Sus scrofa: one gene and its partners. The protein of the gene in region 3 interacts with the protein of the main gene of each other region in a pairwise test. Links are inferred from orthologs where the notes say so. Each region holds a gene or a part of one and is shown on either strand. Other genes may lie near its edges.

Region 1 (4,263 bases), on a different chromosome or scaffold from region 3:
AGGATGCAGTGTTGTCACTGCCATGGCTCTGGTTACAGCTGTGGGGAGGGTTTGCTCCCTGGCCCAGGGAATTTCTGCATGCTGTGGGAGAGACCAAAAAAAAAAAAAAAAAGTGTAATATAATGGGGGACATCTTATGGACTGCATGGCAAATACATGAAGTCAATATGGAAAAGTAAACCACAGAATGAACAATATCACAGACCACCTCAGTGGTCACCAGAGTGAAATATCTTCCATATAAGAAAAAAAAATGGGAAGACTCCCCCCCCAGTATAAATAGGTAATTATATTAACTGTTCCAATTAAAGACAGCCCCACCACCACCACTTGCTGGCAAGAGTTAATTGGTAATGGCACTGCTGCTCAGCAGGGCCAAAATATCCTAAGGGATTATTCAGATTACCAGAAAAGACAGAGCTTTCATCTGACGATTTTCACACAAACAAACATGACAAATATAATAAATTAAAAAGCAAATAACCTTCACTGTGTTCAACACAAAAGGAGACGTGACCCAGATTTCTTAATTCTCCCCTTAAGTGCTATGAGAAAAAGAGATTGCATTAAACGTCTATTTATAACTTTTTAGTTAACTATGGCCAATAACACACAAGGAAGTAATTCATTGTTCCAATTTTTTATTTTTCTCTCCAAAGAGTTACAAGTTAAATTCTAAATTTTACACTGAAATATACAATCCCAATTTTCAAAAATATCTTTCTCCTAGAGCAGTGATACTTCAGTCTTTGGTGCAAATCTGACACAGAGCTCAACTGTCCTATGAAGAGAGTCAGTATTTTAAAATGAAACCAGGAGTTCCCATTGTGGCTCAGCAGTTAACAAACCTGACTAGTACCCATGAGGACATGGGTTCGATCCTGGCCTCACTCAGTGGGCTAAGGATCCAGCCTTGCCATGAGCTGTGGTGTAGGTCGCAGACGCAGCTCAGGTCCCAAGTTGCTGTGGCTGTGGTGTAGGCCAGCAACTCTAACTCAAATTCAACCCCTAGCCTAGGAACTTCCACATGCCACGGATGCCGCCCTAAAAACGACAAAAGACAAAAAAATAATAATGATAAATAAAATGAAACAAAAAAAATCAAGGTAGCCCAAAGGCCGCAGATGTCTGTCCAGTTTTGCTTTTCAACAGACTCAACAACGGGTGAGCCAAAAGCAATGAATATTTTACTTTCTGTAACTCATCTTCTCGGCACTGTCATTTTCTAAAGCAGTTCATACTCCTGACTCTGGTGACTGACAGGATCTCACCTTACTGGTCCAGGCAAAGGAAAAACGGAAATCAAGTCAGACAATGGGGAAGACACACGTTTTTCCTCTTCTCATCCCCAGGCAAATGAGGTCACTCAATGAGTATGTTTCCAAGGTCCCTCCAATTCTCATACCCTCACCAGTGACTGGCCTTAGATACTGTATTCAAAAACTTTTTCCAAGTTCACCCAGTAAACTTGTAAATGCCCAACTGAACTGTGAGCTCCTGCTAAGTATATGATGTTTTGTCCTGTGATGTTTCTTTAAAAAACAAAAACAAAAAACTAATGAATAAAGCACAGATTTACTCATTTATATTCTTTATACATCTCAGAAAAACTAAAAATTTTAATAGGGCAGTTAAAATTAAAAAAAAAAAAAAAACCCACCCCGGTTAATGCCATAACAGAAACTCAAAAATATAAAAGCAGTAAGCTCCTGTTTCCTACTACTTGGGAGGACAGTGTAGCAGGAGGGGAAGACAATTTAATCCATTTCCAATCTCTACAACTCTACTTAGGAAAGAGCATGGGATCTGGGGACAGATGACCAGGTACAAACCATCTGTGCCATCTTCTTGGTTGGGAAATGCAGCTCGAGGCTGTCAACCTGAGACTCGTCATTAACCCCACGTTACAAGTGGGAAAATCATCAACTCACAGGGCTTTGTGAGGGGCTGAGGGAGAGGACTTCCTGAACCCGAGCGCACTAGACGATGTGTACCCTTTCTCAGTCACGCTCCGCTGTGGGTGCTTCTAAGAGCCACGAATACAACACAATAAGCACGAACAGCCCCAGCCACCGTTCCTCGGAATCAATTTCAACGGCATGACAAGGACAGGCCTTGTGCAAAGACTGAGCAAGGCGACCCTGGCAGCTTTTACGTGGCAATCAGTACACACCTAGGCACTGCGATTATGAGGCGACAGGTAGACTTCCCGCCAGACCAACCCACCGGCTGCCCCTGACGTTGGTCTCTCGCTATCTGGCGGCCGCAGGTCCCTCGGGAAGTCGTGACAGGGACTCAAAGGGCCCTCGGAACGAGGTGAGTCAGGAGGAGTAAGGGCAGAGCCCGGGCCCAACAGCTCGACGCCGGCCCAGGTCCGGGTCCTCGCCCGACCAAGGTGGACGGACGTGCCGGCTGGCAGATACCGGCTGCGAGCCCCGCTGGGGACGCCAAGTCCGCCCGCGACCCGGGGGTCAGCTCCCCCGGGGCACTTGTGACGCCGGCGGGGGGTGGGCTCAACGGGGACCAGCGCGAACGGGCGGTTCAGGCCTCCCCGGGCCTCCGCAACCATGTCTGGGAAGCGGGGTCCCCCCCGCCCCGTTCCCGGCCTGCCCTTGCTCCCTCAGGTGGGCGGCGGGACGTGGCCGGCCCTGCCCAGCTCCCGAGGGCCCAGGCCTGCCAGGCCCTCCGAGGAGTCGGAAGGAAGACCGCGCAGACCGCAGACACTCACCGGCCGCGGGGCCGCCTCGCAGTCAGCCTGCACCGCGTCCGCGCGTCGGTCGGCGACTCCCTCGGGCGCCGCAGCGGAGCGCGCGGCCCGACGTGCGCACGCGCGGAGGCGGGACCTGCGGAGGACACGCCCCTGCGGCGGGCGCGGGGCTGCGCTCCCCGGCCCCTCCGCGCTCCGCCCCGCTACGGAAGTCCGACCGCCGGGGAGTGAAAACTCGGCTTGGTAGGAGGGGTGTTTATGAGGACGCTCTGTGCTTAGCGCTTTTCTTGCTCCGTGTCGCCACCGCTTCAGGCTCATCGCGTTGGGCTCCACCTGCCCCTTCTGTTCGAGCCACACTGGTTTCCAGTCATTTCCGTAACCATCCACCTGGCTGCAGCTTGAAAGACTGGTTTTGTCCGGTATTGGCAAAGGTGTGGGGAACGAACAGTAATTCTTGGAATTATTGTGGAAGGGGGAAACTGTCTGGAAAGATGTGTTAAAACTTGGAATAGGTATTCTCTTTGATCCAGTGCTTCCACTTAGGGGTAGCTGTTCTAGACAAGCACTAGAAGCCAAAGAGACACCAACAAGGACGTTCATTGCAACACCATTTCAATGACAACCTTCAAACAACCTAAATATCTGACCATCAAAAGGGGATGGGATGGAGTTGACAGAGGCACATCCTTTCAATAAAGTTGTGCCAGTCAAAAGGAAGGGTGAGAAGTTCCCTTGTGGCGCAACTGGCCGGCTATTGCTGCAGCTTGTGGCACAGGTTGCTGAGCCACAATGGGAACTCCTATAGTCGGTTTCTTAACCTACTGTGCCACAGTGGGAACTCCTCACAATGTAATCTTTCCATACATATATTTAGGCACGTAAATGCATCCAAAAGGGAAATTTTACACACTAGAATGATAGAGGGATGTCGGGGTCACTTGTGCTATATCTGTACAATTTAAATTTTTTATAAGAATGAATAAATGAGTCACGCATTATTTGGCTATCAAAATCAAATGTAAAAGAATGAATTTCTTTTTTTTTTTTACACACTGTACTGCACCTTGCCCCCAACACACACATCAAATTGGTTTAAACCAAGTGACACTGATTGAAGGAGGGGTTGCCTCAAGAGGTCAAATGAGATAATGTGGGGCTAAGTCTGTGCCTGACACATAGGAGGAGCCCAGGAAAGGCTTCCCACTGTTATCATCACTTGTACATGTCACTGGGCTGGGTAACAAGTGTTTTGCAGCAAGTCCTTGTCAGATATAAAATCCCACAAGAAATGCTGAGTCACGGCTGAGCATATGCCAGTCCGTAGCCAAATCGCTTCCCTCAGGCTTTTGGGGACCATCAGTTTGCTGGGGCTTCAAGAAACAAGAACTTCACCCAGGCTGCCCGTCTGCCTGCCCACTTTGGGACAGCTCCCTGGCACCAGCATCACTGACCAGAAGCCTGGGGAAGATATCTGTTCCTTGTCACTCACGGCCTGCACTGATTTCCAGTCTTAACGTTTAGCAAGGCCAAAGGGCACTGGAGTCACTCTGGTCCCA
Region 2 (3,939 bases), on a different chromosome or scaffold from region 3:
ATTCTCTTGTTACACAACAGAATGATTTAGTCAGGAAAATACCAATTTGGCCCAGAGAATACACTCCTGATTTGATTCCCTGGGTTACAAACACGTCCCACTATTCCAAAGTAGTTAAAGCGAAAGTCTGTGGAAACTGGGTTTTCCTTTTTTTCCAATTCTTAAAAATTACCTTACAAACTATTCATTATCTACAATGATGCATGCTATCACAGCAATTCCAATACAGTAAACATTATCACCTAGTCTGTTCCCAGGAAAACCTGGTGGTAGTTAACTGAGAAATAAAAACACTGCCTGCTCTATCAGTAAGCAAAGGATGTCAGTCATCAGTGATTTCAGCCACCTCCGATGGTGAGCTGGTGAGCCCTGAGCGAACACAGGCAAGAAACACCTGCCAGCCAGCAGCCACACCATATAGTGAGCCCTGAGGAAACTCAGGATGGAAAAACAGGGGATACTGGCTAGAGACAGCTGAGGTGCACATCAAAGACGTTATTTCAGTGAACCCAGACCTTGGCATCTTCTCATACAAAGACATGTGCTGAATTCCTTAACTTGAGGTTATCTGCCCTTCGTTACAGGACCCTCCCCTTGTCACCCTGCAAGAGTTCTCTCTGGGTTACTTGAGATGCTGCCTCCTAGACTTAAATCCTCATTTTGCCCCAAATAAAACTTAACTCACAGTTGTGCATATTTTTTATGTAGACATTTTTTTAGAAAAACACTTACCTTTGATTCTCAATTTCCAAAGCTGAATCAGAAACTGTTGTACAATTGTGAGAATCCATCTTGATATATAGTCTTCAAGCTCCTCTCAAAATTGTCACTTGTCCTTTGCTTTAAACAGACTTCTGACCATATGAAATCTGGTAGATGTGATGTAGTTTCCCTGAACAAATAAATGCCAACAAAACAGCTAGGATCAGAGTAATGCAGATATTGATGTAGTCAATTACGAAAATTAAGACAAAAATGAATGTAAGGCCTTTAATATTCTCATATACAACTGTCTAATTCTAACATCTAAAGATTTTATTCATGGGTTCTTTCAGTTGTGCCTACTTAATCCATCCTATAGAACAAGATTCCAGATTTCCTACAGGAGTGTCAAACTTCTTTTCCCTAACAGTAAAAATGTAATTTTTACCCTTAGCCATACAGTCATGTAGTTACAAATAGTAATGTTCAATTAATGGCCAAAAAGCCATTTGCCAACAGTGGTGGGAACCAAGAAATCTCTTGCATAACAAAGATTAAGTCCCACAAAGGCAGCCTTTGGCCTCAGTATACCCAGAAAAATTATTTGGACTTACCTAAACCTAACCTTCAGGTCTGCAATTTTCATTTATGGCCTCTTTCCCTCACTAGATTTTAAGTTACTGTGAAACCCCTTCCTTGATAAATTACTTCTTTGCTACTATGGGTGTTAACCCAAAGTTCTGAATTCTCACTTTTCAATGTACAGACTACAATAAATGGTGCCCTTTGTCTCCTTTAAAAAAAAATCTCCTTGGAAGATTTTACAGTAGTTTGGGAAAAGTATTAAAGATGTCTTATTTTGTTCTGTTTCATTTCCTTATGAGGATGTCATCATTCTTCATTTTTTTGTGGTGTTCTTAGTCTAACATTCTTAGTAATGACACATGAGTAATGATGAAAGAAATCCTTCAGCAGCAGTATTTGAAATCTAAGAAATCAATAAGATCACCTAGATCTTAAATTCACAATGTCTCATGGACTCGTGTGATAATTTCATAGTGTTTTATTGCAGTTTTCAAAACTGCGTTAACCTAAGAAATAAATCATGAAAACAGCCTAAAAAAGAAATTCAACAAAAACTGGATCCAATGGCAATGATGGAATACCTGACATTAAGTTTAAAATAATTACAGAGCACACTATCAAAATTAAGTAAGCTTAACTCAAAAATGTTTTTCAAGAGTTTCTATTGTGGCTCAGTGGGTTAAGGACGGGACGCTGTCTCCGTGAGGATGCGGGTTCAATCCCTGGCCTCACTCAACGATCCCGCGTTGCTGCAAGCTGCTTGGGTCACAGATCCAAATCGGATTCTGCATGGCTGTAGTGTAGGCCGGCAGCTGTAGCTCCGGTTCAACCTCTAGCCTGGGAACTTCCATATGCTGCGGGTGTGGGGATAAAAATAAGAAAAAAAAACTTTCGGGAACTAGAAAGCATTCCTATCGCTTCCTGTTCCGGGATTCTGCAACAAGGGGCCACGGAGCCAGGCAGTGCTCTTTAGCAGCTTTAACAAAATCCCTTCAACTCTTACTTAGTGCGACCTTGGGGCGAATGTCTCCAGAAGTGCCTAACCTCGTGCAAGGAAAATGGCGTCGGTAACGGTTACCTCGCACTTAACCACCACTAATTGAGAAAACGTGCACTCGCTTCAATACACTTGCACTTCAACACCCACAACTCCGATAACGGCCCACGCGCTTAGCCTGTACCTGTGAGTCCTGCCGCCCAGAGCAGAGCCCACAATCACCGCGAGCCCTCCGCTCCCGCTGAGCCGCGCAGGCGTCCCGGGAAAAGTGAAAAGCGCCAGGCCCTCCCCCTCCTTCGCCCACAAGGCCCCGGCGCCCAAGTCCTCTTTCCTATCCGTCCAGACCGCGGACGGCTTATACCAACCTGTGCCCGCTCTGCGCACGGGTCTCCGTTGGCGTCCTCGGTTGCAGCCCCGGCCTCAGAAACCCGCGTTGGGCGCGCAGGCCCAGAAAACACCCAACCTCCACAAACGCGCGGAAGAAAAGGCTGGGCTAGTCCCGCGTCCCAGCTAATAGTGGCCCCGAAGTCTCGCGATAACAATTTGACTGCAGGAAATAACAGAGAGATAGGAGAAAACCAGACGCGGCGCTCCATATTGGCTGCCGCGAGGGGCGGGGCGATTTAGAGTGGGCGGGACCTGAGCTTTTTAACCCAGGGGAGGCGGACTTGACTGAGGCCAGGCCAGGCTTCTGGTGTACGCGTCCTGAACCGGTAAGGTAAATGGAATAGTCAAGAACGTTTGGGCAAACTATGAAAAAGAAATTGTGGGGGCAGGGGAACGGAATGAATGTGAACTGCGAGGAAGAGCCACTTCTCCTGCTTTGACTCCAGTGGTCTCCCTTTGCTGAGCTGTCCTCCGACTTTCCAAAGTCTGATTCCGGGTGTGTGTGTTTGTGTGTGTGTCTACTTTTGCCTTCAAAAATCTCTTCTGTGTAAAATTGTGAGAGGATCATGCTGTGACTGAGAATCGAAATGTGTAACCTTTGTACTAGAAGCCATTGTTATCCAGTTACGCACTCAGTTCCCTCTCCACCTTCGGACTTGTTTTGTTAACTCAGTCTTTCTTTTGGAACTAAGGGTCAGCCTCCCAGGAGGTGGTTAACACATCGCAAGAGATGCCAGCGGGGGCCTTTTTTTTTTTTCTTTTTAGCCCTCTTAGTTCCCTGAGCGGTAAATGAGTGTTAAGGTAGAAGTTAAACTAGTTTAGTTTTGGTGGCAATTTTTTCCCCCGAAGTAGTTACAAAAAAGGAATGAGCTGTCCTGATTTGTCTACTTTCAGACCTCTTGTATCATATAATAAAACCAGGAAAGCTGTCTCGTGTTAATTTGTGGTTAGTGTCATCTCGGGATAGGACAGACCTGGAAGGTAATCAGGTTTCTTTACTCAATTTTTCTCTAAATGTTGTTCTAAATTCCAGGCGCAGAAAGTCTGGTTTTCTAGGCATTATGAAGTACTGTCAGCTCCAGGACAGGTATCACATGTCTTAGTCACTGCTATATTCCTAGGCAGGCCTGCATATGCAGTTTGTGAAGCTCAGTACAAAATGAAAATGCATGTATTTTATATGCATAACTGATTCACTTTGCTGTAAACCTGAAGCTAATAAACATGGTAAATCACATATACCCCAATAAAATTTTATTCTATTTTAT
Region 3 (3,500 bases):
CGTGTCCCTCTTTGGGCTCGGTCCCTGACTTGGGACGAGGGGACAGGACAAGGAGCTCTCTGAGGTCTCCTCCAACTCTGACACTGACCCAGAGAGGGGCCTTGGGCCTCTGAGCTGAGAGCGCCATGGGGTGGGGGCAGGGGGAAGGGGGCATGGCCCTGGCAAGAGGAGGGAGCCCCACACAAGCCCCAACGCACCGACCGGCAGCACTGCTGCAGCTTCACCACCTGGGCCCGCAGCTGGGCGACCTCCCTCTGCTGCTGCTCAAAGTTCTCCATCCGGAGCGCCAGCACCTCCGACAGCTCGGCCATCTGCTGGCTGGCCTCCGCTGGGGGGGAGGGCGGAGGTCAGCCCTGGCCCCCCAGGCCCTCAGCCTCCCAGACACCTCCATCGCCAGTGCCCCTCAGCTCCTGCCGAGTACCCAAGGTTCCGCAGAGCTTAGCATCCCTCACTCGAGTCTTCCTTCTTTTTCTTTTCTTTTTTTTTTTTTTTTTTTTTTTTGTCTTTTGTCTTTTTAGGGCCACACGCTCAGCATACGGATGCTCCCAGGCTGGGGTCAAATCAGAGCTACAGCTGCCGGCCTACACCACAGCCATACCCGATCCAAGCCATGTCGGCAACCTACAGATCCTTCACCCACCGAGCAAGGCCAGGGATCAAACTCGCATCCTCATGGATACTAGTCGGGTTCATTAACCACTGAGCCATGACGGGAACTCTGGGTCTTCAGTTTCAGTACACATTTCTGACTGACATAGGGTAAGCGAGTCAGCAAGACCAGCCCCAGCCCTCACTGAGCTCCAGACTCATGAGGAGACTCAGGGAAAAAGAATCACAGTCGTGCATATCACGGGCTGGGATGCAGCATGGCTAACGGGTGCAGCGGGGGCATTGATGCAGCAGCCAGGCTAGCCTGGCACAATCTGAGAAGCTAAGACTGCCACAGGGCAAATGGGGCTCACCAGGCAGAAGGGAAGGCAGGGTGTGGAGAGACCCAGAGGCAATTATGGGACATCAGGAGAGGGTGGCGGGGCAGTAGACAGGTTAGGGAGGCTGGGGCTTATTATGTGGACAGTGGGAAGTTTTTGAGGTGTTTAGGCAGGGGAGTGACATAAACAGATTTTTTTTTTTAGGGCCGCACTCGCAGCTTATGGAAGTTCCCAAGCTAGGGATTAAATTGGAGCTACAGCCACCGACCTACACCATAGCCGCAGCAACACCAGATCCAAGCCGAGTCTGCAAGCTACACCACAGCTCACAGCAAGGCCGGATCCCCAACCCACTGAGCAAGGCCAGAGATGAAACCCACATTCTCACGCATACTAGTTGGATTTCTTTCTGCTGCACCACGATGGGAATTCCCTGTTGTTTTTTTAAGACCCCACCTGAGGCATATGGAAGTTTCCAGGCTAAGGGTTGACTTTTTTTTTTTTTTTTTTTTTTTTTTTTGCTATTTCTTTGGGCCGCTCCTGCGGCATATGGAGGTTCCCAGGCTAGGGGTCGAATCCGAGCTGTAGCCACTGGCCTACGCCAGAGCCACAGCAACGCGGTATCCGAGCCTCGTCTGCAAACTACACCACAGCTCACGGCAACGCCGGATCGTTAACCCACTGAGCAAGGGCAGGGACCGAACCCGCAACCTCATGGTTCCTAGTCGGATTCGTTAACCACTGCGCCACGACGGGAACTCCTCCAGGCTAAGGGTTGAATCACAAGCTGCACCTGCAGGCCTATGCCACAGCCACAGCAACACTGAATCCGAACTCCATCCATGACCTACACTGCAGCTTGTGGTAACACCAGATCCTTAACCCACTGATCGAGGCAAGGGATGGAACCTGCATCCTCATGGACACTATGTCAGGTTCTTAACCCCACAGTGGGAACTCCCAGATCTGGTTTTACAAAATCCCTTTGGGCTGTGTGCAGAGGGCCTGGAATGGCAGGAGTGGAGGCAGAGAGAGCAGTTAAGAGGAGGCCTGGGCTAGAGGCAGCTGGGGTGGGCAAGAGGACAGAGACGTGAGCCTATCCTAGGAGGTAGAAGCAACAGAACGTGGGGACTCGCTCCGACTCCAGGGGCCTGGGACCAGGATTGGGGGGAGAGGGGCATTCAAGCAACCAGGGGCAGGGAAGGCAGATTTGGGGTGAGGGGAACAGCATGGGTTCAAGTGTTGCCATCTTGAGTCTGCATCTCCCCAGCTAGACCCCAGCTCCTCGGAGACAAATGCTGTGCCTCACTCATCTTCTTAAATTCCAGGCACAGCCTCTGTCTACTGTGTGACTCTGAACTGTCCCAGGCCCAGTGCCCAGGGTGCCTGGTCTCTAGCAGCCCCTCCCTCTCCCCAAAGAACAAAAGGAGATGGGCTTAGTGGAGCCCCCATGCATCTGTACAAAGCACTTCCTCAGCTGCCCCCCTGGAGAGGTCAGCAGGGCCAAGATCATTCATCCCCTTTCTAAAGATGAAGGTTCAGAAAGGTCAAGGAAATTGGCCAAGGTCACACAGCTAGGGAGTGCCAGAGCTGTGCCTTGAATTCCAAGTCTCCAGACTCATCCTGGGCTCTTCCCTCCATTCCCCAGGACAGCCCCCTATGCCAAGTTACAAGTTCACCTACAAAACTGCTCCACGCAGTCCAGAATGAGCATCTGCTCCTCCTCCTCAAGGTCGTCGAGCTGGGAGGCCTGGAGGGAGCGAGAGAGGAAGTGGCAGGGGAGTCAACACCCCGTGCTCACCAGCGCGCCCTCTTTCCCCATCCTCACCTCCTCTCGCAGCTGCTCGTTCTCCTCCTCCAGCAGCCTCAGCTGCTCCTGCAGGGCTTCCAGCTGCGGGCAGCAGTGCAACTCTGACTCTGCCAGAGGGGTCCTAGAGGAGGGAGCCATGGGAGTCAGGGTGCAAGGGCATGGGGCACCCAGTTCGCAGCCCACCCAGGGCTGCCTGCGGTGGTCGGGTACAAGGTGTCTCCATGGTGAACAAGAAAACCGGGGCTCAGAGAAGGGGTACCCAGATGCACCAGCAGGTCACGCACAGCTCCGAAGCTTTGTAGGAATGATCTCACCTCTGCTCTTCTTCTTCCTCCCCATCTTCCTCCTCCTCTTCTTCCTCTTCTTCTTCCTCCTCCTCTTCACCTTCCTCCTCCTCCTCCTCCTCCTCATCAGAATCCGAGTAAAGCTGGAGAAGGTCATCCCGCAGGCTCACCTGGTGCCTGAGATGTAAAATCTGGCCAGAGGAAGAAGAGCCTGGGGTCGGGGTGCAGACAGGGGCAGGCACAGATCCTGGCACAGTGAGATGGAGGCAGGCCTGAGATACGCCCCCTCCTGGTTCCTCCCCCCGGCGCCCTGGTACCTCCTCCCTGGCCGAGCCCAGCATGGCTTCCAGCTTGCTGTTCTCCTCCGTCAGAACACTGTTCTGTTTCACCAGGGACCGGCCAATGCGAGCTGCAGTGTTCAGGTCCCGTTCTCTCTGCAGAGGGACCCCCATCCATGGGGAAAACCTTCCTGGTTTC

The links.
Region 1: the proteins of HAP1 (region 3) and HMOX2 interact in a two-hybrid assay, tested with the Homo sapiens proteins (2 studies listed by BioGRID and IntAct). The link is inferred for Sus scrofa from reciprocal best matches to the Homo sapiens genes HAP1 and HMOX2.
Region 2: the proteins of HAP1 (region 3) and TAF1D interact in a two-hybrid assay, tested with the Homo sapiens proteins (2 studies listed by BioGRID and IntAct). The link is inferred for Sus scrofa from reciprocal best matches to the Homo sapiens genes HAP1 and TAF1D.

Annotation. Positions count from the first base shown.
Region 1 is NC_010445.4:37,865,333-37,869,595, forward strand, and holds the start of HMOX2 (heme oxygenase 2), read right to left. Parts: upstream 2,801-4,263; 5' UTR 2,729-2,800; intron 1-2,728.
Region 2 is NC_010451.4:26,164,483-26,168,421, forward strand, and holds the start of TAF1D (TATA box-binding protein-associated factor RNA polymerase I subunit D), read right to left. Parts: upstream 2,801-3,939; 5' UTR 2,650-2,800; intron 893-2,649; 5' UTR 792-892; coding exon 733-791; intron 1-732. UniProt on the Homo sapiens protein: Component of the transcription factor SL1/TIF-IB complex, which is involved in the assembly of the PIC (preinitiation complex) during RNA polymerase I-dependent transcription.
Region 3 is NC_010454.4:20,941,467-20,944,966, reverse strand, and holds part of HAP1 (huntingtin-associated protein 1), read right to left. Parts: intron 3,458-3,500; coding exon 3,341-3,457; intron 3,215-3,340; coding exon 3,054-3,214; intron 2,861-3,053; coding exon 2,758-2,860; intron 2,680-2,757; coding exon 2,613-2,679; intron 329-2,612; coding exon 198-328; intron 1-197. UniProt on the Homo sapiens protein: Originally identified as neuronal protein that specifically associates with HTT/huntingtin and the binding is enhanced by an expanded polyglutamine repeat within HTT possibly affecting HAP1 interaction properties.